7 linked regions of the Cricetulus griseus genome follow. The protein of the gene in region 5 purifies or fractionates together with the protein of the main gene of each other region. This does not show direct contact. Links are inferred from orthologs where the notes say so. Each region holds a gene or a part of one and is shown on either strand. Other genes may lie near its edges. The genes, in order: Bag2, Timm50, Pin1, Calu, Raf1, Dicer1 and Tcp1.

The links.
Region 1: the proteins of Raf1 (region 5) and Bag2 purify together in Homo sapiens (co-immunoprecipitation; 3 studies listed by BioGRID and IntAct, with this or other methods). This does not show direct contact. The link is inferred for Cricetulus griseus from reciprocal best matches to the Homo sapiens genes RAF1 and BAG2.
Region 2: the proteins of Raf1 (region 5) and Timm50 purify together in Homo sapiens (affinity purification with mass spectrometry; 4 studies listed by BioGRID and IntAct, with this or other methods). This does not show direct contact. The link is inferred for Cricetulus griseus from reciprocal best matches to the Homo sapiens genes RAF1 and TIMM50.
Region 3: the proteins of Raf1 (region 5) and Pin1 purify together in Homo sapiens (co-immunoprecipitation; 3 studies listed by BioGRID and IntAct, with this or other methods). This does not show direct contact. The link is inferred for Cricetulus griseus from reciprocal best matches to the Homo sapiens genes RAF1 and PIN1.
Region 4: the proteins of Raf1 (region 5) and Calu purify together in Homo sapiens (affinity purification with mass spectrometry; 3 studies listed by BioGRID and IntAct, with this or other methods). This does not show direct contact. The link is inferred for Cricetulus griseus from reciprocal best matches to the Homo sapiens genes RAF1 and CALU.
Region 6: the proteins of Raf1 (region 5) and Dicer1 purify together in Homo sapiens (affinity purification with mass spectrometry; 3 studies listed by BioGRID and IntAct, with this or other methods). This does not show direct contact. The link is inferred for Cricetulus griseus from reciprocal best matches to the Homo sapiens genes RAF1 and DICER1.
Region 7: the proteins of Raf1 (region 5) and Tcp1 purify together in Homo sapiens (affinity purification with mass spectrometry; 3 studies listed by BioGRID and IntAct, with this or other methods). This does not show direct contact. The link is inferred for Cricetulus griseus from reciprocal best matches to the Homo sapiens genes RAF1 and TCP1.

Annotation. Positions count from the first base shown.
Region 1 is NW_023276807.1:14,227,121-14,231,379, reverse strand, and holds the start of Bag2 (BAG family molecular chaperone regulator 2), read right to left. Parts: upstream 2,819-4,259; 5' UTR 2,748-2,818; coding exon 2,635-2,747; intron 1-2,634. UniProt on the Homo sapiens protein: Co-chaperone for HSP70 and HSC70 chaperone proteins. Acts as a nucleotide-exchange factor (NEF) promoting the release of ADP from the HSP70 and HSC70 proteins thereby triggering client/substrate protein release.
Region 2 is NC_048602.1:7,570,081-7,574,485, reverse strand, and holds the start of Timm50 (mitochondrial import inner membrane translocase subunit TIM50), read right to left. Parts: upstream 3,030-4,405; coding exon 2,676-3,029; intron 1,842-2,675; coding exon 1,691-1,841; intron 928-1,690; coding exon 896-927; intron 695-895; coding exon 673-694; intron 1-672. UniProt on the Homo sapiens protein: Essential component of the TIM23 complex, a complex that mediates the translocation of transit peptide-containing proteins across the mitochondrial inner membrane. Has some phosphatase activity in vitro; however such activity may not be relevant in vivo.
Region 3 is NC_048597.1:133,541,982-133,545,715, forward strand, and holds the end of Pin1 (peptidyl-prolyl cis-trans isomerase NIMA-interacting 1), read left to right. Parts: intron 1-2,051; coding exon 2,052-2,162; intron 2,163-2,940; coding exon 2,941-3,050; 3' UTR 3,051-3,476; downstream 3,477-3,734. UniProt on the Homo sapiens protein: Peptidyl-prolyl cis/trans isomerase (PPIase) that binds to and isomerizes specific phosphorylated Ser/Thr-Pro (pSer/Thr-Pro) motifs.
Region 4 is NW_023276806.1:198,472,148-198,476,591, forward strand, and holds the start of Calu (calumenin), read right to left. Parts: upstream 2,820-4,444; 5' UTR 2,686-2,819; intron 1-2,685. UniProt on the Homo sapiens protein: Involved in regulation of vitamin K-dependent carboxylation of multiple N-terminal glutamate residues. Seems to inhibit gamma-carboxylase GGCX. Binds 7 calcium ions with a low affinity.
Region 5 is NC_048601.1:29,206,624-29,210,357, reverse strand, and holds part of Raf1 (RAF proto-oncogene serine/threonine-protein kinase), read right to left. Parts: intron 3,079-3,734; coding exon 2,966-3,078; intron 1,031-2,965; coding exon 928-1,030; intron 625-927; coding exon 467-624; intron 1-466. UniProt on the Homo sapiens protein: Serine/threonine-protein kinase that acts as a regulatory link between the membrane-associated Ras GTPases and the MAPK/ERK cascade, and this critical regulatory link functions as a switch determining cell fate decisions including proliferation, differentiation, apoptosis, survival and oncogenic transformation.
Region 6 is NC_048598.1:190,294,612-190,298,836, forward strand, and holds the start of Dicer1 (endoribonuclease Dicer), read left to right. Parts: upstream 1-1,285; 5' UTR 1,286-1,326; coding exon 1,327-1,470; intron 1,471-2,079; coding exon 2,080-2,242; intron 2,243-3,059; coding exon 3,060-3,190; intron 3,191-4,030; coding exon 4,031-4,165; intron 4,166-4,225. UniProt on the Homo sapiens protein: Double-stranded RNA (dsRNA) endoribonuclease playing a central role in short dsRNA-mediated post-transcriptional gene silencing.
Region 7 is NC_048595.1:288,143,851-288,148,102, reverse strand, and holds the start of Tcp1 (T-complex protein 1 subunit alpha), read left to right. Parts: upstream 1-1,398; 5' UTR 1,399-1,486; coding exon 1,487-1,550; intron 1,551-2,850; coding exon 2,851-2,936; intron 2,937-3,018; coding exon 3,019-3,147; intron 3,148-3,851; coding exon 3,852-3,949; intron 3,950-4,089; exon of another isoform or gene 4,090-4,227; intron 4,228-4,252. Other genes in the region: Mrpl18 (39S ribosomal protein L18, mitochondrial), read right to left, coding at 150-336, 611-662. UniProt on the Homo sapiens protein: Component of the chaperonin-containing T-complex (TRiC), a molecular chaperone complex that assists the folding of actin, tubulin and other proteins upon ATP hydrolysis.

The sequences.
Region 1 (4,259 bases), on a different chromosome or scaffold from region 5:
GTATATGAAAAGTGTTCTTTTAAATTACAGACTATTACTCCAATTAAATATGGTGTCGACTTGCTTTGTGAGTCCTGGGACACTGGGACATCCTGACAGGAACCTTAAGCAGTAAGAAACCAAAGCAGCGGACAGTGCATTTCCTTGGCCCTGGCGACAACATCATTTCCTGCCTGGGTGGACTGGAAAGAACTACTCCCTATGGGACCATTTGGGAAGTGTACGGACAGCCGACCTCCCAGTCCTACCTATCATTCATTCCTCCTCTGCCAATCCCCGAGACCCAGCTGCTTTATCACCCACAGCTTCTAGAAGCTACTCAATACTTGGCACGTACTGGGTGCTCAATATTTACTCAATTAAATGCTAAATTGATTTTTCTTTTAGTAAAAGCACGTTCTTATGCCAACTGGACAGTTTGAAAAATGATATATTCAACACTAAGACACATGGTGTTTGATCTGAGCAGCCCCTCTTCCTGTGTTCAAACGTGGAGTCCACAGCTCTTGGCTGCAACTTGAGGCATGTCGTTTATATCTGAGCTTCAATTTCTCATCTGTAGAATACAGATAATGGTAACTCCCACAGAGGCATGAGGCCTAGCATGCAGATAGATGCTAACATGTATTATTTATAAACTAGGATAAACATTAAAAAGTAATAAGTAAGCCATCTAGCCACGAAGGGCGCAGAATCCCATAGAACTGGTCGCAAAAATCAAGAAAGGACAGGGTTACCTCTTTAGAGGAGCTGTAGTAGAAAATATTTTTTTTAATGTCAGATAGTGTAGTTAATATTATAAACTAATAGAAACGAACGACAATCCACTAACAGCTTGTAAAACAGGGCTGAACATTTTAAAGCATTTTAGGCAATCCCAGAGGTCAGTTCAGCCTCCAGGATATAAAGCCTTTGATGTGGTTTCAGTTTCAGAAGAAAAAGTGACTTCCACTGTCAATAGAATCCACACAACTGACTGGAAAATGCATACTATCTACAAACCAGGGTTTTACAGCACCAAATCCACAGCCTTGCTAATATTTGTATACAAGGAAGCTAGTATCGGGAAATCACACAAGCTTCATCTTTCCTCTATCATCCATATTTAAAAATTTTGTTTTGTTTTATTTTGTTTTTTTTTAAGACAGGGTTTCTCAGTAACTATGAAGCCAGTCCTGGAACTCACTGTGTAGACCAGGCTGGCCTCAAATTCACAGATATCCACCTGCTTCTACCTCCCGAGTGCTGGGATTAGAGGTGTGTGCCACCACTGCCCAGCTAAAAGTCTAAATTTTTAATAGTGCAGTGCCCTGTGTCAAAGTGGCTTCTAAAAAGGAGCCCCATGCCTTGAGCCATTAAACACACATTAAACTCTCCCTCTCAGCAAATAGTTAAAGTATCAATTAATCACATATGTGCAACAGTCAGAATTCCTTTTACATTAACCAAACATTAGACTGCAACACCAAACCCAAGGCTTTCAGGAACCCCCTCCACCCCCCTACCCAGCACTAGGGAGGCATTAATTCAGGTTTCAGGACAGTGACTCAGCTAAAGAAGAGTAACAACTTCCTAAACCCTTTCAAGGAGAAAAAAATCTGAGCAGTTGAGAATATACTGTCCAAGTTCAGTGCCTACTTTGTAGAGGGAAGCATTCCCTCTCCTCAGAAGGGCTTGAAAGCTGAGGTCCCTTTGTCTCACTCCGGGCTGGGGACTGTATGGTTAAGGCTTCTCTTGTGGCTACTCAGGAAATTGTGAAAAAAATTTCTCACCGTCTGGATCTCTGCTCCTAATAGTAATAATAACAAATGCCTCATTTGTAACAATGCTGCTTGTGGTAGTTTTCTGTGCAAACATCCTCCCGTTTGTTTGTTTGGTGGACGAATGGAAGGAGATTAGGCACACAAGACTCTTATGATTTTGCTCATATTCTTTTGCTTATGCAGAACCTGGAGAAAACTAGGGAACAAAATGTTCGCAGTTCCAGAAGACCCAGGGTGCCTTGATAAGATTTTCATGGAACAACACCTGCACACAATCAAGACTTGCACAACTTCGGAGACATTAACCAGATAGGTAAGATCTCAAATTGCTGTAGGCAACAAAGTATTTACAGCATTTGCTAGTATTTACTATTTAGAAATTTTACTACAACACCGATCCTGCGATAGAATCTCAGGCAGAGTGTGACTCGTACCTTTTCAGGCCTGTGGCTGGCACTTCCTAGGTGTCATCAGTATCTTCTAAATGCACAACAGATACAGACCGAATGCGGAGGGCATTGCACGTGGTTAAGAAAATGAAAGAACGCATCCAACTTTGCCACCCACAACGGCCACTCGTGGGTCTAATTCTCGCTGGTCGCGGGAGGTGCAGTCTGGAATTTTCCTTACTCTTGTGTTACTATGAAGTGGTTTGGGGCAAAGAAACTTACTACAATGGGAAGGTGGGAGGGAGAGACCCCACTAAGCTGCTGCCTCCCTCCAAAGAGCATTACTGGAAACGTGGAAGTTAGAGGCAGCGGGGACCACACACAAGGTTCTGGAAGTTGGGCAGGCCGCGCGCGCTCGCCCGGGGAGTGGAGCCCACCCGAGGCGCCCCCGCCTGCACGCTCACCCGCCCGCCCGCCCTCACCTGAGCTCCAGCTGGTCCAGGCTCTCCAGCAGGCGACTGGAGCGGTCTGCCATGGACGAGGAGCGACAGAAGCGACCCTCGTGGGCCTTGGCGCTGATCTTCGCCTGGGCCATGAGCTCCGGGGGTCCGGGGCGTCCGCGGGCAGCAGTGGCGCGGGCCGCACGTCGCCGTCACCGCGGGCGCCGCTGACGCGGACGGCACCGCCCCCGAGGCCGCGCGGCCAAACAAGGGCAGGCGCGGGCGCAGCCGCCAGCACTCGGGTGGGGGACCCTGTCCCGGTGCCCGTCGCCAGCCTCCCACCGGGCTGCCGGCTCGCCGATGGCTTCTGATGTTTGTCCCAACACCCACAATTCACAGCAGGGACAAAATCGTGCGGCCCGTGACGTGGGAGAAAAGATCCCCTGGTGTAGCGTTAAGACAATTGAGTGCGCCTTAGGGGCAGTCTCTACTTGCCCGACCTGCCGGGTTACCAGGCAGGCTCCTAAGAGGACAGGGAGAGCCTGGGCAACACTGTGCTCCAAATAAGGAAAAGCCAAGTGCATTTATACTGTCTCGCCTTTCTAATGAAAGGTTATTACTTTCACACCCAACTTATTGAAATCCTCCGTGAATAATATTCAATAGGCTCCTGCAGAGGTCACTAAGAGGTGGAGTAGGGTTGAAATACAAAGCCATGTCTGGTTAGAGTTGTGTTTTGTCCTCTCGGTGCACAGAAAATGAGAAACTTGGATTTACAACCTTGAATCAGAACTCAAAGCCATTTGATGACTTAACAGAGTCAAGTCCCTTAAGCACAGCTGGCTTCCAGGTCCTCCACCACCATCACCACCCGCCCCATCCCCAACTCATTTTACATAATAAGGAACAGTAGGTTATCTGGCTTCATTAAACATTGTCATTTCATGACACAAATGTGAAATTTGAACGTTTTGTGAATGTCTTGAAAAATCGAAGCTTGCGCTCATCTCAGGTCTAATGCCAGCTCATCTGGATGTTGATAAAGGATTGTGTCTCTCGGGCCAGAGTGAGTTCAAAGGCCAGGCGGGGTTGCTTTGCCAAGAGCTAAAAATCTCAAAAAGTATAAGGGGCTGTAGACGTAGCTCGGTGGTATAGCATCTGCCTTTGTCCTAGGTTAGCAACTAAACAAGGCAGATGTCATGGATTCAGTGTCTTATGCTCTCTGGCATCTGGTCCTCAGTTGGCTGTTTGGGAACGATTATGTGTGGTCTTGCTGGAGGAAGTATGTCACTCTGGGCATGTTGCAGAAGACTAGCCATTCCCAGTGTGTCTCTGCCTCCTCCTTGGGTTCCAGATGAGTGCTCAGAACCTGTCCTTGATGCCATCGTGACTCTGACCCTCTGTAGCTGAGCCCAATTAAATGATGTTTTGCTTTGTTTTTTGAGACAGGGTTTTTCTGTAGCTTTGGAACCTGTCCTGGAACTCCCTCTGTAGACCAGGCTGGTCTGGAACTCACAGAGATCTGCCTGCCTCTGCCTCCTGAGTACTGGGATCAAAGGCAAGTGCCACCACCGCGGGGCTTAAATGATTTATAAGTTGCCTTGGTCATGGTGTTTTATCCCAGCAAAAGGAACTAATATAGCAGATATCTTCAAAGTAACCATTTT
Region 2 (4,405 bases), on a different chromosome or scaffold from region 5:
CAAATAAACAACAGAAGCAACAACAACAACAACAAAAACCCAAGATAAGAAACCAAACAAACAAAAACCCAGGAGACCTGAAATCTGTGCACTTAGAAAAGCAGACTCAGTCTCCTGCCTGGCGACCAGTGACACAGTCAGTGCTTGTACTCACTGTTTACACATCTCACCCAGGGGGCTCTGTGGACCCAATAACTTCACTTTCTGTCAGGAAGGGTCAGCTAAAATTCACAGCTACTCTACTACCTAGTTTATCAGAAGTCCTCACCAAACTCTGCTGAACCTGGGGTATGTTTGGAGAAGGGGCAGGGCACAGACACTGAGAGGCATTGTTTTAGAAATGAGGCATGGGGTGGGATAGGGACTTAAGGATTTTTAAACAAACAAAAAAGAGGCTGTCATAAACACTCAGGGGCCACAGATGCCCAGATCTAAGGCCCGGGAAGCCGGTATCTGGGAGGGACTGCTGCGGCCCCCTGCCCCCATCTGTTCCTGACCATCTGCTCCAGGCTGAGGGGCTTTTGTTATGTCCCGCCCCCCCAAGCATCTAATTGTTGAACCTCCATGGAGGAGGAGGGGCTGGGGTACAGGACAGAGGAACTGGCACTCCAAACAAAACAAAATAGCAGAGATGGGGACACCAGGGACTCCCAAATCTGTTAAATCACTCACCATTGTCGAATTCATCAGGGATCTGAGAGAGAAAAGCAAAGGTTTGGGTTGGCAGAGGGGTCCCAGGACATCCACTCAAGGAGCTCCAGGCTCAGTAGGCAAAGGTCCCGGGGAGGGAGGGAGGGAGGGAGGGAGGGGCGGAGGGGCTCATTTCAGACTAGAAAGGAGCCTGAACCAACCAAAAGCAACCCACCCTAGCACCTCTGGGTCTAACGCCCCTCACCTTGGTGCCATTTTCATCCACCGAGTTGTTTCCTGCAAGGGAGACAGAGACGGATGAGAGAAACTTGGAGTCTAATCTGCTGGGTCTGGAAGGGTTAGGAAGTGAGGGGTTTGGACAACCCCGTCAGAGGGGATGTTGCTAGAGGCACAGCTCCTGGATTAAGGGAGGAAGAGAATGGGGGGAGAAGGGGCAGGATTCCAATATATTTAAGAGAAGGTGGGCTAGCCAGGCATGGTGATGAATGCCTTTAATCCTAGCACTCAGGAGGCAGAGCAGGTAGATCTCTGTGACCTGGTCTACAAACTGAGTTCCCAGGACAGCCAGGGCTGTTACACAGAGAAATTTACACAGAGAAATCCTGTCTGAAAAAAGAGAGAGAGAGAGAGAGAGAGAGAGAGAGAGAGAGAGAGGAAAGAGAGGGGGAGAGAGAGAGAGAGAGAGAGAGAGAGAGAGAGAGAGAGAGAGAGAAAGTGGTCCGAGTCTGAGATTACACACAAGGGGAAGGTTAGGCTTTTGCTGCTGAAGGGAGACACAAGACATAGCTTCAGACACTGGGCCAGCCCTATTCTTCCCATTGTCCCCTTAGTTCCTGACTTCAGGAGGGACAGGGACCAACTAGAGGCTAGAACTTTAATTAAGTACAAGGGGTAGAAGGGGACTTGTTGAGTTTCAAGGTGAGTATCCCCGTTGAAGGCCCTATTGAGGGAGGAGCCAGGGAATGAACAGTTTGAGGAAAGAAGGGGAGGTTTCCCAGTAGAAATCTGGGGGCCAGCAAGCCAGGGGTATGTCTCTCACCAAAGATATAGACGATGCTGACAGTCCCACTGGCCCCAAGCAAACCAGCAAGCCAGAGTGCAACTTTTTTGGCATAGCTGGGACCTTCTGAGCCTGGCTGATGCTGCGGCCCCTGGGCCTTGGAGCCTCCACGACTGGCGATCTCAGCAACCTGAGCGGAGGGGAGGAGGCGAGGTCAGCTAAGAGGAAAACAGCAGGAGGCTCTCTCTGACCTCTAACTCGGTCCAAGTAGAGTCAAGATCGAGGGACGTGGACATACACAGAGCCCCAGAAAAACGTGTCCCTGGAAGGGCTGAGTGGAAAAGTTGGTCCCCGCAGAGGGGCAAAACTATAAAACTGTGTCCGGAGGATCACAGGGGTTCGAGGGCTGACAGGCGGGGCTGCCCGGGATCCTGAAAGCAACAGGACTGCAGCAGGGTCTGGAGCCAGGGCGAGCAGGGCAGGGAGAGTCAGGGCTGGCGGGGAGAGCAAAACCAGGGAGCCGGAGGGCACCCAAGGGACGGGAGGAGCGGTTAAGACACCCGGACATCCCGGGCCGCAGAGGGAGGGGTGGGAAACCCAAGAGATCGGGGCGAGGCGAGGCGATCTCTCTCGCCTGGAGCTCAGGACGGCTGTCTCCGGCCAGCCTTCCCGGCTCGCCGCCCCCGAGGCGGACGCCGCCCGTCCCGCCCTCCCCCGGCCGGCCTGGGACCCCGGCGTCCCGGGCGGGCCGCTCCCGCGCCGGCATCAGGCGAGGGTGACCTCCCGGCAGCCACGAGGCTGGGACGCGGGCTCCGGAGGATGCACCGGGGGGCCCGCCGCGCCCCAGCCCGGCGGGCGGGCGGGCGAGCGGGCGGCAGGCGTGGTGCTCCCGGGAGGCTCGGGGGCGCCGGGAAAGCGGGCTCGGGGACGGTGAGCGCCCGGGACGCGGAGTTCCGGACGGCCCGAGCCTGACGGGGGGGGGGGGGAAGCCCCGGGTCGGGCGGGGTCCCCGGGGCCGACTCACCTGCTCTGGGGCGCGGGGAGGAGGCGGCGGCGCTAGCCGCGTGCACAGTCCCCGCGCGCCGACCCGGAGCCCGCTCCGCAAGCGCGAGAGCAGCGCCGCCGACGCCGCCGACGCCGCCATCTTGCGCTGACGCCGCGCGGCCCCGCCCACTCGCCGGCTCGCTCCCGCCCCCCGGGCGGGGACCGCGGCCAATGGGGAGGCTGAGGTGCGGCGTGTGGACGGGAAGGCGAGCGGGACAAAAAGGTGTGGGCGGAGTCCCCCTCCCCGGCTGCGCTCTCCGCGGACCGCTAGTCCGGGGCTGTCAGTGCCCTCGCCCCCGCGCCCGCGGAGCACGCTGAACTGGAATGGGGCCATCTGTCACCACGCCCCCCTGGTGCCTGCCCTAAGGACCTCCGCCGCCGCCCAGTCGCTGGGACATAGGCGTGAGAGATGGACAGATGCTCAAAAAGCGAGCTCAACCGGCAGCCCTCGCTTTTTTTTTTTTTTTTTTTCTTTTTTCCCCCCACGCTGAAGCGGTCTTCTCTCGCGTCTCCAGATCACTTTTTAACCCCTTCTACCATGTGTTTCTCGAAAGGGCTGGAGATCGTATCACTCACTTGGCTTCCTTCACTCACCCATAGGAACAGTGCGTGCTGACTGAAGACTGAATAAGAAATCAGTGAATCTGGGGTACAGGAAGACACCAGGAATGTCCCCCAAGTTGTTTTTAATGGTGGAAAAGCCAGGTTTTTACATTGAAACTTTTTTTTTTAAGATTTATTTATTTATTTATCATGTATACAGTGCGTGCCAGAAGAGGGCACCAGATCTCATAACGGATGGTTGTGAGCCACCATGTGGTTGCTGGGAATTGAACTCAGGACCTCTGGAAGAGCAGGCAGTGCCCTTAACCGCTGAGCCATCTCTCCAGCCCCTACATTTAATCTTTTTTAAAAAAAAGTACTAAGATAGTAAAAAAATACAAAGTTGGGTAAAGGAATTCAGAGAAATGGTTATTTCTGGGGTGGAAAGAAATGGATTGGGGCCGGGCACTGGTGGCGCACGCCTTTAATCCCAGCACTCGGGAGGCAGAGGCAGGCGGATCTCTGTGAGTTCGAGGCCAGCCTGGTCTCCAGAGCCAGTGCCAAGATAGGCTCCAAAGCTACAGAGAGAAACCCTGTCTCAAAAACAAAACAAAAAAAGAAGAAAGAGATTGGGGTTCTGTTAAGTTACATGTGTGTTTGAGTGTGTGCGCCCTTGTGCCACAGGGTGTGGAGGACGGCTCTCTCCTTCCACCCTGGGGGTCCGGAAATCAAACCTGGCTCATTTGAACCAAGGCTGTCTCCCTTATGGTTGACTTGGAGGACATGTTTCCAAAGTCAGTGGTTAGGACACTTCCTTGACACGGTGAGTTCCTGTTGGCCTTACATACTGTAAGTGGGTACAGGGGACATAGGACTTCATGTTATGTCTGAATTTTTAAAATTAGTTTTATTTCGAGACAGGGTCTATGTAGACCAGGCTGGCTAGAACTCATAGAGATCCACCTGCCCCTAACTCCCCTAGTGCTGGGATTAAAGGAGTCCAAGTGCCTTCACCCACAGACCAATCTCACCAGCTTTTGGTTTTTTGTTTTTTTTTTGAGACAGGGTCTCATGTAGCTGAGGCTGACCTATGCACCCGAGGAAGACTGATCCTCCTGCCCTGTCCCAAGTGCTGTGATTTGAGTCATATGCCTACCCTTTGTGAAG
Region 3 (3,734 bases), on a different chromosome or scaffold from region 5:
CTGTCTCCTCTGGTGGAGTGGTGCCCAGCCAGCCTGATGGCCTGTGGCTGGGTTTCTGGGCCCCTCCTGCTGGGTCTTGGGTCTTCTAGGATAGCATATCCAATGATGTTACTACCTCTTCCATAACCAGTCTCTTCCCTTATGGCCACCTGTGAACTGGGAGATGGGCAAGGGGATTGTCTAAACACTTTTAGGATGAGGAAACATCCTTTTGGTTCATTCTGTCCCTTAGTCGCTGTAACACAGTGCCACAAGCTCGGTAGCTTAGGTGACAGAAGTTTCTTTGAGTCCCAGTTCTGGAAAAGTCTATGCCCCATGCTTTTCCTCTAGATTCCCTCTCACCAGCCACCACAGACCTGTGCCTTTCTCACTTTCCCCATCAGGTTCCTGCTGAGATTGCTTTTCTTGTCTTCTGTTGTGTCCTTTGGTGCCCTGCCCCTTGGCTATCTTTGCTCGCCCCATCTGCCTCCTTTAATAATAGAACTTATGCTGCCCAGGCTGACCTTAAACTCCCTGTGTAGCCAAAGGTGACCTTGAACTTCTAACCTGTCCACCTAGCTCCTAAGTGCTGGGATTCTAGGTTTGCACTACCATCCCTAGTTTGGAAATTGATCCTAGGGCCTGGTGCAGAAAGGCGAGCACTCTGCCAGCTGAGCTAAAACTTTTTTATGAACAGGTACTTATCATTTCAGGGCCCATCCTTGTAGACTCCTTATCTCCAAGGACAGTCTTACCAGGAACCAGGGCTTCTTTACAGCGAACATTGGGACTTTATCATGCAGCCTTTAGCAGAGCAATGACTTGTGCATTAGCCTTGACTATGGCAGTCACTCATTCATGCCACAAATAACCCTCTGAAGTGAGAGCTCCCATTAACCAATTCAATTCTTTTTTCTTTTACTCTCATTTATTTGTATGCACGCAGGCATGCTACTGCAGGCATGCTCATCTCAGGCACTGCCTGGACTCAGGTGCCTGGCAACTCCCAATCTAGCAGGTGTCTGTGTGAGCATAGCAGTTTCCCATGCATCTGCATGTCTGTGCACCCTGCTCCTGAGACATTAGTCATACAGACCTGGTGCTGTGTTTCACTCCCCTGAGCCTAGGTCCTTTACATTCTGTTGTTTGTTTGTGTCATTTTGTTTGGGTAGGGTTTGGTGATTGGCATGTGTGTTTGAAGGTTAGAGGACAACTTACAGGAGTTGGTTCTCTCCTTCTACTGTTGTGGGTTCTGGGGATAGAACTCAGTCAGATTTTGTGACACATGACTTTGTTATTTTGAGACTTTGCTTCATTCATCATTCACTTTCCTCCCAGCAGCCCTGACCTCCTAACCCTGCAGGGAGTCACAGCCCAGTAGAGATGCTTTAATACCTCCTGAGCTCTGCCAATACCCTGTGGTACCTGTTGTGTGGCTTGCCTGTGGGACAACTGTGCAGGCGCTCACACACATCCCTTACAGCCTCACCTCAGGTTCTCATCAAAATGTCCTAGTGAGAGCTCTTCTGTGCCTCCATGTTGCACAGGTGGGGACTCCTGAGGCCCACAGCTGAGGATGTCACCAGCTCCTATGCAGAGCTTGGCTGTATGCTAGCCACCTGTGGTCTCCAGAGCCTTGAGACTGCCCCAGGACTAGGGGTGGGCAGTCATCTGCTGTGAGGTTCCAACTGTTTGTGTCCAGGGCTGAAAAGAGGTCACTGTGTGTCTGGAGGGGTCCTTATATTCTTGGGCATCTGTGGGTGACTAGCTTGGTTACTAAGGTCATACATAGTAGGGCCATAGGTGCATGGGGATGGCAGACAGGTTTGCACCCTGGGGTCATGCATGTGGGAGGACTGTCTTCATGTGCGCACATGATAAGGACACAGGTGTGATTGCTTAGGCATGAGGGGGTGGGAAGTCTTACAACAGAAAGGCAGCAGCATGTCTTTATAGGGAGCATGGTGCACAGGCCAGGCCTGGCCCAGCTCCTGGGAGTGCCTTGTTCTCCCTGCATCCTGGCTGGCCCCTGTGTCTCTCTGACTTAGGGCTCTCCCCTTGTGTCCCTGCAGGCTACATCCAGAAGATTAAGTCAGGAGAAGAAGACTTTGAATCTCTGGCCTCACAGTTCAGCGATTGCAGCTCTGCCAAAGCCAGGGGAGACCTGGGTGCCTTCAGCAGAGGTAGGCAAGAGTGGGTACCGCTACACTCAGCCCCTTCCCTATAGTGTTGGGGGTGGTTGGGCCCACGAAGGGGGAGAAACCCTACTCTGTGCCTTCCTAATCCACCAGGTGGCAGCACAGCCCTCAGGCTTCCTGGCCTGTGTTTTTTGTGCTGCTAAAGGGATGTAAAACCTCCCTGGTATCTTCCCTTCAGGATCATTGTCCCCCTCACCGGCCCATCAAGGTGACTCTGTTCTGTCATTGGCATCTAGCTATAGGACAAGACCCCTGAGAATCATGTTCTTCCCTTTGGCAGGTGGGGAAAATGGGCAGGCAAGGCAAGGTCAGGTCCAGTTGGTGACCCAGACAGAGCTCAGAATGTCTTCCAAGGGCAGAGGAAATCAGGATCCCTTCCTCCTCCCTTCTCTCCTTCATCTCCTTGTTGTGGGCTGGGAGTTCTAAGTGTTGGCACCTGCCTGGGAGAGGGAGCCTAGCGAGGCCCTCTGCTGGCAGCCCAAGCTACCTGCAGGACAGATGGTGTTCAGCTGGGAACCAAGAGAGTTCATCATGCAGTGTGTCTAAATGCACAGCACAGCACTGCCTGCCATTCCTCATGCTGTCCTTGGGCTTCCCAGAGCCTCCTAATGGGCCTGTGGCCCTCAGCTGGGCTACAGCTCAGCAGTGCAGGGTGACAGGGCCATAAACCCTGTGATGAATATGCTTGAGACTAGGTGCAGGCAGGAGCCCCATCTCTGTGCAACTCGCGCCTGACCCCCACCACCTCTGCTGTTTCACACAGGTCAGATGCAGAAACCGTTTGAGGATGCATCGTTTGCTCTACGGACAGGGGAGATGAGTGGGCCAGTGTTCACAGATTCGGGCATCCATATCATCCTGCGCACAGAATGAGGACAGGCAACTGGCCGGCCTACTCAGGCTGCCAAGCAGTCCATGGACGCCCCTTCCTGCTACTGTCACACAGTATTTATTATTCCTAAAATGGCTGGGAGGGGGCTCTGAGATAAGGACTCTGAGCTTCCTTTTCCCTGTTTGCCCCCAGTTGGGGCTGCCCTAGCCAGGCTCCTTCTGAAGGAATTAACTTCAGAAGGGCAGTGGGGGTGTGGAGGCCCTCAGGCTTAGTGGGTCAGAGGTGACCTGACCCCTCCCCCTAGGTCCCAGAGGCAGGCAGGAGGGCCTTGTTTCTTGTTAGTTTTATGCTCCATTCCTCTGTTCAGTTGCAAAAAGCAGACACTCCACACCTGGCGATGCAGCAACTCAGCCTCAGGGTGTGGTGCAGCGCCCCATGCGCCTTCCATTAAATCTGGAACCACTGGCTGGTGGTACTGTATCTCATTACCTTCCTGATGGGGTGTGGGGTTCCTGTCTCAGGGGAGGAACTGTCACCCATCACACCCCAAACCCAGGTGTCCAAACTGTTCTCAAGCCCTAAGAAGCTGCCTTTTCAGGGCCTGGGGTGCTGGCAAGAAATCTTCCCACTAGCTAGACTCCCAGGGCAGCTGCAGTTATGCCTAGCCCCTTGTAGATTATTCAAGGATACACAGGACCCCCACCCCCCCATGCTTCCAGTGGGTA
Region 4 (4,444 bases), on a different chromosome or scaffold from region 5:
TACTATGGTTGGTAACTCCAACTCCAGTTGGAAGAAGTTTGCACTTCTTGTTTGTATTAATCCACAACAAGCACAAGCCATACTGCTATTCTTCAGTTTCCTGGATGGCTCTATTTTTTATTTCTTTTTAACATTTATTCATGTGTGTGTGTGTGCATGTGATCATATAAGGGCTGAGGTCAGAAAACTCTGGGAAATTGGTTCTCGCCTTGCACCATGTATGTATATACTGGATATGAAACTCAGGCTGTCAAGCTCGGCAGCAAACATTTTCAGTGGCTGAGCCACCTCAATTCCATCCTTTTTTTTTGGGGGGGGGGAGCTAAGAGGATCTCACTGTGTCTCACACTGGCCCCAAATTTGCTATGCTGCCCAAATATCCGATAGGTTGAGACAATCCTGCCACGTGGGCTTTCCAAATGCTAGGGTTCCAGGCATTTGCCACCACACCCACCAGATTCTGCAACTTTAAAACAATTTCTGCATTTAGAAGTGCTATAAATTAATACATGTACCCTGTTTCAGAAAATATTTTATTGAAAATTCTAACTTTTTAGCACTAGCCTCACCCATCCTTTCTGGCAGCTTAGATGTCTATATTAAATTCAGCCCTTCAGAAACATTAATTCTGAGAGATTCCACAATTATTCTGGATTGTGGAACTTTAAAACAATTTTCTTCTTTAAAAAAATTATCTCTACAGCTCCTTACAAAGTGTTGTATTTTTAGAAACCAATATATTTTATTGAATGAATTGGATGACATTTAGCAACATGGTTTTGCTGTGCTTTCCAACTCCCAATTCCTATTAATGGATCTGGCCAAATGCCATGTATAGGCAAATATGTGATTTCAGGGGCTGGCAAGATGGTTCAGCCAGTAAATGCACTTGCCACCAAGCCCAACAACTTGAATTGGACCCCAGAACCCACGGTGGAAGGTGAGAATGGATTCCCACACATCATCTCTCAAGACTCCCACAAGCATGCCCATGGCATGTGTATGCCCATTGCCATAAATAAATGTAATTTAAACAATTTGTGTTATTTCAACTGTTTAATCCCAATACATGTTACAGCATAATGGCATTCACATCTAGGAGTTCACAGAAAAGCTGGGGGTGGTGGTGCACTCTTTTCATCTCAGCATTCAGGAGGCAGAGATGGGCAGATCTCTATGAGTTCTAGAACAACCTGGTCTACACAGTGAGGTCCTGGCCAGTCACAGCTATGTAGTGAGACCTTTTCTCTCACACACAAACAACAAACCCATAAACAAACAAAAATTCATAGAGAGAGAATCCAGTATCTTAATCATGCATTTCCCATGACTATTCCTGGCTATCCCTGAAACAGCCAGCACATCAATGTTACAAGAAATTTGGGCTAATACTAACACACTAGTTTCCTGCACTGAGGCAATGACATAAAACTCTATCAATGGTACATGTAACATATCACTGGATGAATGGCACCAAACAGAGACAGAGAATGACACTGAGATGAATACCATTAACTCACACATAATTCAGCTTTTTCATGAGATCATAACTCCTACTTTTGATTCTACAGAATATCCTGTTACAGACCCTTGAAACACTGCAAAACTCAGATTAGGACCACACAGACTGCCTTTCATGCAAATAGTTACAGGTTATCTCTGGTCCCTCCTTTGGACTTCGGTAAGTTCTTCAGTGGTGACTACCGCTTGACACTTAAATCTAACTGAATGAGGTTAGATTTAATTTGTCTTGGGTCGGCTTCCGGGTATAGCAAAGAATTTATCAGCCATTCATGCTTAATTAAATAAACCTGAGTGTCATTATTCCCAATTTATTAATGCTGACTTGATAGTCCATTATAGGAAGTGAATACAATTCTCAAAAAATCCTGTTCCAGGGCTTTCTACACTTAGGAATTTGGATCGAAGACACAAAAGGTGTAGCAGCAACCCAAGGAATTGTCCCACTCATGCAAAAGAAACTTTACAAGATACAAATCAGTGTTAATTACAGCAACTATAGGGAATTATGTTCACTTCGGAATACTGCATGCCCAAAATCAGAACTAGCACTTGGGAAAAGACAAGCAAAAAACATGATTATTTAAAGGTAATTAACTCTAATTAACGTGCGAAAACTGCTTTCCATTAATGACTATATTCAGCCAAAAAACAGAAAAGTGCGACGTCCCTTTCCAATTAACAAGAGACTTTTTTCCCCCCAAATAATGACATCGTTATCATTCGTTTTGTTCCCCACCTTCCTACACCCTGTAAGACAGCAAGCGCTTTCTTTCTTGGCACTTGCAACCCACTCATGGGATGTGGCCTTGGGGCGGGGTGGCGGCTCCCAGCAGGCCTGGGAAAGGTGGCGGGGAGCTGATGGAAATTCTACCCAATTCTCTCCGACCTTCAGGAAACAAACAAAAGTGACCCTCTAGCCCCAGGGACAGTGAGTGGAGGCAGCCGGGGCGGAGAACAAGGACGCACGAAGCCAGACACAAAACGGTGGCCAGGAGGGCGCGGGGCCCTGGAGCCCAAGTCTGCGGGACGGAGACCGAGAGCAGTCTCGGGCCCACCCGCGCACACCGAGGCCGGAATGAGGAAGACCCGCCCCGCATGAGGGACAAGGCCGACGGGCAGAATAAGGGTGCGCGGGGACCCGCCGAGCACCACGGGGCTCACCTTTCTCCGGAGCTCCACGCCGCAGGACACCGTGGCCGCAGCTCGCTCAGAGGAGCAGCTCCCGCGTACAAGCGCCTCCCAGCCGGAAGTGGCTCCTTGCCCCGCCCCCATCCGTCTCGTCGGCGGCTTCTCCGCCAATCGCCAGCAAGACCGCTGCTGATGCGTCTCTCTTCCGCGTGCCCATTGGTCCCGCCGTCGCGCGGCCGTGATTGGCTTGAAAGCGCCACGTCCCCGCGAGCGCGCCGAGTTGCGTGGACCGGATTCCCGCCCAGTCCGGGTCGCCCATCCTGTGGGGACGCCGAGCCCCAGTTCTCTGCTCTTGGGCGTGTGGGCGCGGCCCGCTGACCACGGCCCCCGGACCGCCACGTCCGCATTCACGACGCTCGACTCGGCCTCCCAGGGCCTCCAGGATTGTTGTGGTAGCTTTCTTCCTGAGCTCCAGCCCCCGGGGCCGGATTGATACCCGAGTAACGTCACCACCCGCGGGGACCCAGCCCAGCTTCTGACTCTTGAGGGTCCCGGTTGATGTACTAGCAGATCTCCGCCCTGCCAACGTGTACCTTTCGGCTTCGTTCTCCACCCACCACGCTCCTTCGCACCTCTGCCCAGTCCATCGTGATCCGCGCCTTCCCTGAGAGCCTTACATTTCATATCCTTGTGGTCTTTGCTCACAAAGCGGCTTCATCTGCATGAAAGAAGTATGTTTTCTGGATTTTCCAGCTACTGAAAGCCGCTACTCATGAAACAGGTTGCTGTCCTGAAATGTCTTAGTGGAAGCTGGGCAGGTAGTGAAACTACCAGGGCCTACTCAGGTGCTAGCTCTAGGCATCTTTCCTGGTCCATTTCCTAGCAGTTTGCATTTTCAGTGCACAGCCAGATTTTGCTAAAACAAAACAAAACAAAACGGTGATTATCATTGTGTATGCGATTAGACCAAGTGTCTGGAATAGGATCCGCTGAACTTATATATCAGGAGCTCCCAGCTTACAGACCAGTCCCCAATGCATTCAGTAATACTAAATGAACTGAATAGAAAAAAATCCATTGCGTCGCAGGCCCCTGATTGAAGAGAAGAGCAGGAAATTAGCAATCTGGGGTTTTTTTTGGGGGGGGGTCGGGGGGGGGGAAAGGAGTGGACAGGGAGAGTTTGAACCTAGACTTTGCCCAGGACTCTAGTCTACCACTAATCTATAGCATAACCTACTCAGTGTCGTGAAATTAAAGCATGTTCATTGAGGGCTACTATATTTTCATCACATATAGAATGAGTAGCGCATGAAGCTCATGAAAAACTTAAGAAAGCAAATTAGTTTAAGATGGGAAAAGGCTAACAACTCCTGTTTGGGACCCTTAAACCATCAACTCAGAACACAACTGTCACCTCAAAGAGAGTTTATTCTGGAGCCAAATGTGAGTGGCCACGACCAGGAGACCAGATTAGGTTACCCCAAATTCCAAATACCAGTATAGCAACAGTTTGATGAAGTTTTTATACTTACAGAACAAAGAAACTATTCACCAGAGAATGGGTTACAGCAAAGTGGGGAAACCTTCCTTATAGCCCTCAGATATTACCTGATGACACACTTAGTTCTTGAATTGTGAAAGCCAGTGCTCTGCTAAAACAGTACATTCTAAAGAAACTAGTGCTCTGTTTCCACAGTCCACAGGATTTGCTTTATGAAGCTATTAGGTCAATTACACAGGAGAGCAGTAAACAGCCCCTAAATAAATGGATATGAAGATAACTAAATATGGC
Region 5 (3,734 bases):
AAAAGCCCTTGGATTTCCATGTCCCATTTCTTTTCCTTGACAAACCAGTGTCAGCAACTATTTGATAGACAATGGGTCCTACCCGTTTCTGGTATCAACTTAGCTAGACTAACTGGCCAGCAAGCCCAGGGACAGCCCTGTCCCCATTGTCACGAATGAGATTACAGGCATGTGGCACAGGCCCAGCTTTTATGTCAGTGATCAAACACAACCCTCATGCTTAAAGTAAGCACTTCAGTGAGTCATCTCCCAGTTCCCTGCCTGTTTATTTTAGTTAGGCCGCCATACTAAAATTAGCTAATTTTAGAACTATTGTGCTTCTAAAGTAGTTAGTTTCTGATTCACAGTAATTATTTAACAAAGCTAAAACTCAAGACTTAACAATTAAAAATGTATAATGAACATCATCTAAAGTGTTTCTGCCCCTGATCCTGAATTTTTACAGGAATAAAACCAAATGCCTTACAAGAGCTGTCTGATATTACTCCAGTCCACACACATAGTAGGTACTTTGGTGCTACAGTGCTCATGAAACTTGTAGCCACAAGTCTGACACCGAAATCCATTTAGCAGGAACTTTTGACAGATGTCACAGAATGCAAGCTTCAGGAACGTTTTCCGAGCCTGTAACAAGAAAGCAGGTATAAAATTACAATAATGCAAGAGAAGAACCAACAAGGTGCTTTCTCCACTGGCCCCATAAGAGTTTCCCACAGTGAAGAATCATACTTCCAACACTGTCAAATTCAGAAACGGAAGGCCTCTAGAGGGACCTCTGTTAATGGACTCTAAACTGACCACTGTCCATGACTGCATAGGGAGAACTGAAAGCAGCTAACAATACACAAGTCTAGTACTTCTCAGAAAGGTCAACCATGCACAGAAAAGAGCCCAAAATGGCAGAGAAAGCCAGGCACTGAAACTTACAAAGTTGTGAGTTGTGAGTGGAACATGATCCAAGAAATCCACTTGCAGTTCTTCTCCAATCAGAGAGGCAGCGTCGGTGTTCCAGTCTAAGCGTGCTTTCTTACTAAAAATTACCCAAAACATAATATGAGGGAACAATGTCGGAAGCTCAGCACATAGAGCTTCTACTGCAGGCTGTCTGAGCACACCTAACAGATGCTCCAGTCCCACCCTAGAAATAAGCCAACTGGGGCCCTGAAGAGTCATTGCCCACAGAGTAACAAGGTCTGTTGGAATCCAAGTCTGTTGGACTCCAAAGTTTATACTCCTAGAACAAAGTTTCCTTTGAACAATGAAATAAAACAATCTCATGACAAGGGTAACTATGTCTTTAAGGGGACTGTGTAACATTAAAATCCTACCAAAATCCCAAGATCCCATAAAGTAAGGTGCAGTCACTACAAGGCTCGTTTAGTGCTCAACAGCTACTTCAATCTAAATGTCCATAAACATGACTCAAACAGGGATGTCCTTTCCATTAGTTACTGACTCAAAGTTGTTTGTAGAAGTTATAAAACGTCTATGGGAGACAAAAATGGTCTTTAAAATTGACTGACAGCAGTGCTTTTGTGCCCAGAACAAGCAAGACAGGACATCACATTGATTTATGGAAAAGCTGTTAAGTTCAGTTAATCTGTCCCATTTGTGGAGAATGAACATTCCCAGTTAAGAAGGAATGTAACACACACAACATCAGTCAAAACCCTCTATCCCCTGCCAGAGGCCAACAAACCACTCTTCTGGTTACCCAGCAGGCAATAATCCATTCCTTAAGACAATTCCCTCTGCAAGAAAGGGAGAATGGTATCTGTCTAGAGTACTGCTTTGTCTTAATGAGGACTAGGAAGGAAGCCCCGCTGTTTGAACACAAGTAGGAGCTGTCTGTTCTGAAGGAAACTGAGATCAGTTCCTAATCACACAACTTTGGAGAAGAGTGGACCAAGCCTGTCTCAGAATCTCCCAAGTCATAAAGGAAGTCTATGGATCAGCTTGGGCACCAACATGGGGATAAAGCCAGATAAAGGGGATGGCGTGTTAGCAGAGGAAGAGACAGGTTCTCTCCAGCCAGGGAACTCAGAGCCACAAAGAGAACATGCAGCAGGTTAGTGGCAGGTGCACTGCTCCCCAGAGAGGGCAAAGTCAAAGGTTTCCCCAGGTTTGTCTGACAGAGCATGAATGACAAGACCTTCTCTTTAGGGCTGCAATGAGTGGGAACTTGAAAATGTTATCCTTCAAGTTCCATCTACCTTGTTTTTTTTTAGACAACTTCTCTTACTGGAGCTCACTGATTAGGTTAAACTGGTCAGAACGCTTCAATGACCTGCCTGCCTCTGCCTCCAGGTGCACCACCATAGCCAGAGTTTTATGTCAGTTCTGGCAATTAGAAGGCAAGGCAAGCACTATACTGAATAGGGTATTTCTTCGGGCCAAAGACAGTGTTCTTTAAAAAGAAAAATTTATTATTATTAATTTATGTAAATTTATTATTTATGTATTTTTATGTTATTTGTGTATCTCTGAGTGCATATATGTGCAACGCATATGTGAGGGTGCCCTTGGAGACCAGAAGAGGGCATCAGATCCTCTGGAGCTGGTCTACAATCTGTTGTGAACCACCGGAGTGCTGGGAATTGAACCTGAGTTCTCTGCAAAAGCAGCAAGCACTCTTAATGAGCTTAACTATAAAAAGCAATGCAGACATTTTCAGAGTACCCACTCTTATGACAAACACCAGGAACATTCTTTGCACTCAAAAACATGCCTTTTAACAATTCCACTTCCATCCCTGAACACACTATGAGCATCTCCTATGCAGTGTAGTTTTCAAAACAATGTCCAGGCAATAATTTCAAATTCTCAGTAAGCAAATTTTTCTGAATTGATCCTTTAAAAACAAAAGTATACACATATACTAATCCCTAGGAATCAAAAAGAAAGCATTGTTCACAAGTTATTTGAGGCTAGGAAATCCTTACTATTCGAAAAGGTACACTCTTACCCTTTGTGTTCCTGGAGAAGTCTGAACACTGCACAACACTCTGGCTGCAGACCCCTCACCTTGAGAGCTTTCATAAGGCAGTCGTGCAAGCTCATTCCATTCCGCACATTGACCTGCAAAAAGATAAGCTTTAGTACCAACGCAAGCTACAGCGTCCCTTGCAAAGATGTGCACTGAATTAAACACATCCATCTGTAAACTAGTATAGATTTATGACATACTGTTTGCAATGGTATCTAGCAGTAAATGCAAGCAAATGAACACAGATCGTCACATCAGCATGGGGCACATTGTGCATCTCCTGTATTGCCTGGGACAGTAGTCTATGACATGGTAACTAGAGGAAAATACTTTTATTAGAACAATACAAGAGTAAGACTATTTAAAAGTGGTGAAACCAATACATTTTTCTTATATTGTATGATTTGGAACCATGTATGTGTTGCTATTAACAACAGAGTTGGTAATCGGGGACCAGTGAGATGACCCAGCAGGGAAAGATACTTGTTGCCAAGCCTGACAACATAAGCTCCATTCCTGGGACCAATATTGTGGAATACAGACTTCCAGAAGTTATCCATTCTCTGGCCTCTAACAACTGCATACACACACACACATACACACACACACACACCCCACACGCATGCACGCACACACCAAAAAATAATTAAATACTAAAAGTAATTTTAAGTGGTGGTGGGGGGGATACTTGGTACAATTCTAATTACCTGTACTTGCAAGTGTATACACAAGTGTGAACATCACCAGA
Region 6 (4,225 bases), on a different chromosome or scaffold from region 5:
CATAAGGGTCACTTATAGGAGAGTGAGTGACTGCAAAGCAGCCACACCACTAGGAATTCTCTTCCCAGCATGGATGGCAGCTTCCTATAGCTACATAGACTCCATTGGAGTCCCCTCTTCTGTTAATTTTCCACTCTAGACCTCCTGAGGCCATGAGGCCATGTGCAATTAGATCAGGATTCCACACACACGGCAGGAAGTGTAGGGGGAGCAGCTGGAATTCCAGGTAAGTATTCACTGACTCTCGTTGCCTGCTCCTCCTCTGAGGGAAAGCCATCACTCAGCAGGATCTGCTTTGGGGTTGTTTTAAACGTAGTCACAGCTGTCCTGGTGAGAATGGTGGCTGTTATGCTCAGAAGACAGTGCTCTGCAAGGCTGCCCCTGCTTCAAAAAATGAATGTGCTGGAGACGGACATCCAATTGTTGACCTGTGACCTCTACACTTGCACACACCAGCATACACATAAACATACATGTGTGTACGCACACAGAAAACTTTTAAAAGATCAATTTTTATTTTACCAGCTTACATAATGAAATTTACTTCTGGAAAAGAATGTATGAAAATGGGAGAGTGCTTAGATGTCATAGAAGAATTTCCATTTAGAAAATGTCATGTGTTTAGTTTATCAGGATATGTATAATTTTAAACATGTATGTCTAAGGATAGTTTTAGCTGTGTAGTTGCAGATTGCCAGTTAAGCAAAACACCCCTTTTACTAATGTGATTTAACCAGGTCGGGTGTTTGCACCTTTAGTGCCTGCGTGTATGCTGGCTCCTTATTTTGTCAGCATATTAGAGAACTTAGAGAGAGTATGTTTTTGTATGTTTGTACTTTACATGTAGGTATATGTTTAACAAGGCATCAGTAGACTTTGCTCTTTGCCAATAAATATAGACCCATGAGAATGTGAATAATTTTAAAGAATTCCTTTACATTATTTGACAATACCTTTAGATAGCTACAGTTACTATGGTTTTCTACTAGTTTTAAAGCTACTTCTTGTCTTCCAGTAATGTAACAATACAGACTGATGTGTTTATATTTGTACAGTTGTTTGGTTCATTCTTTAGAAAAGCTTCTAGGTATAATTGCCAGGTTGAGTATAGACTGCTTGACTTTTAAAACCATCCTCTTAGATCTCAAGAGAGACCAAACCAACCACAGAAAGAATTGAAAAGGCTCTCTGGAGCAGTAGTCTGATGTCATTCTTGTTCCTGTGCTTTCTTTTGTTTTAACCCTGCATGGTTGTGTAATGGTATTCTTTTTCCCTTTTGTAGTAAGCTGTGCTAGAACAAAATGCAATGAAAGAAACACTGGATGAATGAAAAGCCCTGCTTTGCAGCCCCTCAGCATGGCAGGCCTGCAGCTCATGACCCCTGCTTCCTCACCAATGGGTCCTTTCTTTGGACTGCCATGGCAACAAGAAGCAATTCATGATAACATTTATACGCCAAGAAAATACCAGGTACTAATGAAACCACTAATACTGGAGCATTTTTCACTAAAATAGAATAAATTACTATAGAATTGACACAACTTATAAAACTCATTTACTCTTTCAAGCCTCCCTCTTCTGATTAATTTTCTTATTTAAAACATTTTTTTTTTTGTTTTCTTTTCTGTTCTAACATCTGCTGGGTAATTGACTTGTGTTGGTTCTGTTTGTGAGTTCCTTATCCCCTCCCAAGTTCACTGTTCCTTTATATCCATTTGGCTGTATCAGTCCTAGTGAGCTGGGTAGGGATGGAGATTGGTTTGAAAGTATTCAGCCCTGAGCTGGTAGAAACATACCTAGTGGAGATTCAGTTATATGTAACTAACATGTGCAGAAATAATTCTTAAATAAATTTGTTAGTGCCATTTTAATATATGCTTACAGCAGCACAGCTGTGTATAACAGCCATTTCACTCCCCTGTTATTCTTGAGTAAATGTGAAGACAGTGGTTTTCTTTTTGTAAAGTTGTCTGCAGATTTAGATTTGAGAAAACAGGGAAATTTCTATGTTTAAAACAAAAGTCAATTCTTATATGTGGTGCTTCATTAAGAAGTGTGTGGTCTTTTCCCATATTTCAGGTTGAGCTGCTGGAAGCGGCTCTGGACCATAACACCATTGTCTGCTTGAACACCGGCTCAGGGAAGACGTTCATCGCGGTCCTGCTCACCAAAGAGCTGGCCCATCAGATCAGGGGCGACCTCAACCCACGTGCAAAAAGGACCGTGTTCCTCGTCAACTCTGGTAATCAAATATCATTTACCAGATGTGAGGAGAAAATTGGATGAGACTTTGTATTTATCTCTGTGGGTATTAAGTTAAATTATTGGAAGTAAAGAGTTTGGCAAACAATGAGCTTACTGAAGCCCTGCTAGCCAAAACACTATTTTATTCTCTGTAGCATCTTTCTCAATAGTTCAGACTCTGCATTTCTCCTAATGGGGTTTGCTCTGGGGAGATGGCTAGATTGTTAAAATTACTTTGATTCTTGGTTCACTCCATACAGCAGGTTGAAGGCTGACTAGAGATAGGAACCTACTTGATGGGCGATTTTAGCTGGAGCAGTTTTAGAAACTTATATGGGTCTTTAAAGCTACTGAGGAGACTTAGTGTCTGATGTCTTAAACCAATGTCTGTATGCTTGGAATTGTCGACATGAAAGTATAACCTGGGAATCCAGAATGACCTCCCCTTCTGTTTTTTTTAAGACAGTCTTAGCATAATTGTGTGATTTGAACATGACTTCTTGGTGGATTGACCTGATTTCAGTGAGGAGAGCAGAAGGGACAGGTGTCGAGTAGGTGTCCTTCTGGTTTGAAAAGGACTTAGATCTTTAGGATGGAGGAAGTCAACTGTGAAGGAGATATGAGGTTGTCTGGAGGAAGTGATGGAAGAGGAAGTGGCAGGCCTCATCCATGATTTTAGAGGGTGATCTTGGAACTATGATTTTTAAATTAGCCATTTAAAAAATTGGTGGCTAGGTATAACTGATAATTTTTGTAACTGTTCAGAAAGCTAACTGGGTACATTGTTCCTATTTGCATGTTTTCTTCGTGGCCAGCAAACCAGGTTGCTCAACAAGTTTCAGCTGTCAGAACTCACTCAGACCTCAAGGTTGGGGAGTACTCAAACCTAGAAGTAAATGCATCTTGGACAAAAGAGAGATGGAGCCAAGAGTTTACTAAGCACCAGGTGAGACCTGCAGGGACATTTCACTGTACAGACACTACAAGCCCGTTAGCCTTAGCTATGGAGGAAGCTAGAAAGGGACATTCTCCCAGTCCTTTCCATTCTCTCCCTGTAAGGTTCATCTGAAACCAGTATGAACAATACATTACTAATGTGTTTGCCTCCAGAGGGTAGAAAAGAGAGCAGCTGCCGTTATTTACTTGCTTGAAAAACACAAATACCTGTGACTTATTGAACTTGAAGAGAATGTATTTTGAAACTGGGAAAGTTCCTTGTTTGAGGTCCCTGGTCTTTGAGGGAGGCTCCCTCTGCCTTCATGTTTTCAGTAGATAGCATGTGCTAAGGGCTTCTTGTGTGTGGTACTGGGAGATACACAATGGTTGAGGGCTGCTTTGTAACTAACATCCAACAGCCTGCTAACCACTAGTAGTTCTCGAATATTAGAATGAACCTACTTAAATAAAGCCTTCCAGAACAATAGGCTGTATAAAGAGTATTTAATTTTTCAGAAAACCCTGTCAGCTCTGTAAATTCTTCTATGTTTTGACTAAGTTGACAGGTCTCATATTTCAATGGCTGGGGAAACCTGAAGTAGATTTAGTAACTTACCATAAGGACGTGGTCTCCCTTTCTAAGGCGTTTTTCTCATAATCTTTTCCCATACTATCACTGGTCATTGTTTACATCTTGGTTCCTATGTTTTACATATGTAAATTTCTTTGCTTTAATTTTGACCCGTGAATTTCATAATCTTCACTTCCATATACTGACACTCTGGTCTTTGGTAGAGATATAGCCAGGCAGGTTAATGGCATTTGTGTACTGATATCAGTTTTATTTTAGGTTCTCATTATGACTTGCTATGTCGCCTTGAATGTTTTGAAAAATGGTTACTTATCACTGTCAGACATTAACCTTTTGGTGTTTGATGAGTGTCATCTTGCAATTCTAGACCACCCTTACCGAGAAATTATGAAGGTAGGTTTTTAGACTTTATCAACTTCAGTAATTGATGGTCAAATTATTAAGTTATTGAGT
Region 7 (4,252 bases), on a different chromosome or scaffold from region 5:
ACCACCACCGGTTTAGATGTCGGCTTTTTGACATGTCACCTCTTCAGAGAGGGAACAATACATAATCTCTTATTCTCAAATTAACTTTAAAGTTTTCTTCCCAATTTAACCTTGGGCTTATCTGGCAGGGTCAGTCACAAATTAATTACCTGTGCCAGAACTCACGGTTGGGCCACACTGTAGCCCAGCCCCGTTCTTTCCTGGCTACCCCTAAGAGCTCCAGATTCCGAGGGTTCCGGTTGGTGAACACTGGGGCCACAGCTTCGTTTTCCTTAGTCTCCACTTCGGGCTGAATCGCTGGCGAGGAACTGGTCGAGCGGGCTGCGAACCCACACTCTAGGAAATGAAAACGACCACGTGGATGTTTAAAACGACTAATACGGGCGCCAGAGGGGCGTGCTCTAACCATTCCCATCACAAGGCCCAGAAGCGGGTAGAAATGGCCGTCTGACCAAGGTTATCACCACCGACCCATAACGTCCCACGGTCACCCCGGGAGCGGCTAGTGCGTTCGCTTCCGCAAGCGGAACCTCGGGTGCAAAATTGGATTTGCAAATTCCCATATACTGTGCACAGCGAGCAGGCAACGACGCGGGGCGAGATTAATTACCCAGCTTCCCGCAAACTGACAGCCATTTCCAGACCCGCGGCTGAAGCGCCATCGCCGATGGGACGTAGGCAAAGCCTCCCAGTACCCGGCCTTGCTTTGCTCACGGTCGTCAGGGAGAACGACTAGCGGCAGCCATGTTAACTGGGGGAAAAGCTACAGATGCCAGCAGGTCGTCGGTCACTCCGGGACCCGGAACAACAAGCTCCCTTGTACTGAGTGGCCGAATAAGCGATCGGTATCTCCGCTTCGCCAACCACCGCTGACGTCGAGGCGGGGGGCGGGGCACGCTCGCGTAGCTCTTTTCTCGGAAGTCCGTCCCTGCGGCATGCGTGACCCCAGGCAGTGGTCGCCCAGCTGCAGACCCCAAACCTCGCTGAGCCTGGACGGAGTCTCAGCTGACTCTCCGAATGCTCCCTGACTCCTAACTATGACCGGAGCTCAGAGATGAAAGGCGCGCGAGCTCCCAGCCGTACCTGGGAGCTAGGGTCCGTAGCCCGCCTCCCACCACAACCCTATCAGCTTCTCTAGAAGGCGCGAGAACGCACGAGCGCCGCCCCACTCCTCCCGCGGCCCAACTTCGGTTCCTCACTTCCGCGCCTTTCTCGTCCAGCCTCTAATTGGATAAATAAATTGTAGACCCACCCCCCCTCCAGTTCCGGCGTCTTCAGTCTCGCCCATCCTCTTTTTCCCAGCGGGCCTAGCGGTTAGCGGAGCTTGGAAAGCGGGCGGGGCTTGGTACCCAGCATCCCGTGCGGCGTCGCTCGGGCCTCTCTCTCCACGCCGTCCGCGTTCCCCGCTGTGGTGGCCGCAGTCCGGCCTCTGAGCGGATATCCCGGCCGTCCGCGGTGTTAGCGAGGCCAGCCAGGTTCCCTAACGATGGAGGGCCCTTTGTCCGTGTTCGGGGACCGCAGCACTGGAGAGGCGATCCGCTCCCAGAATGGTAAGGGCGCGAGAATCCTGCGCCAGGCCCGCGGCCCAGGCCGAGGCCCGACTGCGGTCGCTAGGCCGGGGCTTCCCCCTCGGCACAGCGAAGTCCCCGTGGAGGCCCGGGCCCAGTGCGGACCTCACCCGCGGGCCCAGCCGGCGCCATGGCGCCCTTCGGCCCTGGGAAGAACGTTGGAGCACGGCACGCGAAAGCCCGTTTTGGGAGGTGCCCAGGGTGGGTGTGGGCGTCCACGCCCCGAGTGGGGACTGCGCTACCCCGGAAGGCTAGCTCCAGACCTGATCGCCCGCCACGCCTCAACGGTCCCTTTGTCCTGGTTCTAACCGGGTTGGAACATCCCGGACACGACCAGAGAGGAGTAGTTTCCACCCGTTCCATTTGCCCAGGAGAACATGCCCACAGAATGTAGGTGGTCGTCTTTGCGTGGCTTCCCTCCGGCCGGTTGTCTTTCAGTTGATAGCTGCTCCCAGGAATACTTAACGGTTTGCAAATTGAACGATAGGCGAAATAACACGTGTTTGCTGGTAGTTGAACCTGTTTTTTTTTTTTTAAAGCACTTAACGTTTTCCGATCGTGATTGTGCTTTTTTGTTGTTGTTAAGGTGCCCCCTCCCCCCGAAATACAGTTACTACCGAGATGGACTACTATTCTTATTAAAACATGCTAGAGTCTGAAGAAAAGGCTGAGATGTTAACCCTGAAATTTTTCTTGCTGGCTGGAGAGATAGCTCACCAGTAAAAACACTGGCTGCTCTTCCAGAAGACCCGAGTTCAATTCCCAGCACCCACAGAGCCCCTCACAACTGTCTGTTAACTGTATTTCCAGGAGATCTGACACCTTTACACCAATGCACATAAGGGATTACTTATTTTTTGAGGCATTGACCTCTTTGTGACATTCCAGTACTCAAAAAAGTTAACCTAGCCCGGCCATGGTGGCACACACCTTTAATCCCAGCACTCACTTGGGAGGCAGAGGCAGGTGGGTCTCTGAGTTCGAGGCCAACCTGGGCTACAGACCTAGTTCCAGGATAGTCATGGCTGTTAAACAGAGAAACCCTGTTCTGAAAAGAAAAAAAAAATAGTTAACCTTCACTAGTCCTTTTTTTGGTTTTTCAAGACAGGGTTTCTCGGTATTGCTTTGGAGTCACTAGTCCTTAAATAGGTGTGTTTTTATTTTTTTAATTCCCCAAAAATCGTAATTATTGCAGATTGGTAGGTTTAAGAAAATCATAGTTGGCTTGGTGTCTCTTAGCTTGTGAATTGTTCTAATTTTTCGCCCATTGTTCTATCTTCAGTTATGGCTGCAGCTTCCATTGCCAACATTGTGAAAAGTTCTCTGGGGCCAGTTGGCTTGGATAAAATGTTGGTGGATGACATTGGTGTAAGTATATCTCACTGTTCTTGGTGGCCTTGCCTCGTGGAGCTTGGTTTCTGTGTTGACCCACTTCCTTCATATTTCTCAGGATGTAACCATTACCAACGATGGGGCCACCATCCTGAAGTTACTGGAGGTAGAACACCCTGCAGCTAAAGTTCTTTGTGAGCTGGCTGACTTGCAAGACAAAGAAGTGGGAGATGGAACTACCTCTGTGGTGAGGCACTACCTGGGAGTGGCTAGAGAATAAGCCCGTTTATTAGAGTTGAACCCATGAAAGAATCCTTTACTCTAGATATGTCAGGTGTTTATGGTCTCATAAACATTTGAAAACTAATCATTGCACCTACTTTGTGCAGTTTGAGTAGGAGAAAAATCATATAAGGTAGTTGAATATAAGCTTATTTTAAATACTGGGAATTTGGATGCTTATTTTCAACCCCCTTGCCATGATAATGTTTACATGTAGAAAAGAGTTTCTCATTTAAAGAAAATGTTACCAGGTTTCGGCTTCTTTGTTGTTCAAAACTAATGGATAGTTTTGGATTTTAACCATAGACAGGAAATTTGGGAATTCAGAGTAGAAATTTCTGGTGTTTGTAGCTTGGACCATTTGCACAGACTACTTTGTGGTGTTCTCCATTTTATGTTTTCAGCAAGCTGCTACTTGTCTGCTGTGGCTGGTTAGTAATGCTAGGTCATAGCTGGACATTGTGGTGCATGCCTTTAATTCCAGCAGTTGGGAGACAGTGGAAGGTGGATCTCTGAGTTTCAGGATAGCCAGGGCTACACAAGGAAACCCTGTCTTGAACAAATAAGTAAATAAGATAAAAATAACAATATTAGATAATTTTGATGTTTTCCTGTATGCATTGTGCATATTGAATGACATGAAAACTTAAAGCAGTGTTTAATCAACAGGTAATTATTGCAGCGGAGCTTCTGAAAAATGCAGATGAACTAGTCAAACAGAAAATTCATCCAACATCAGTTATTAGTGGCTATCGGCTTGCCTGCAAGTAAGATTATATTGAAAGAAAATGTTATTTCCTGTAATGGTTGTAGTCTGTCTTAATGTTGTGATTAATCATTAGTTGGCAATGTTCTGTCTTAGCATTTGGGTGGTAGTATTGAAATATTCAGCCCAGTGTACCTCTGTTTTCCCAGTTGACTACCACGTTTTCTCCCAGTAGATTATAGTGGCTATGCTTATGGGATAGATGAAAGGTGCCATGATCTGAAGGGGGAGGGCTTTTCAGTGTCTTCCCCCCTATATGAAATGGCTGAACATAAAACCATCGCCCGATATTTCACAGCGTGTT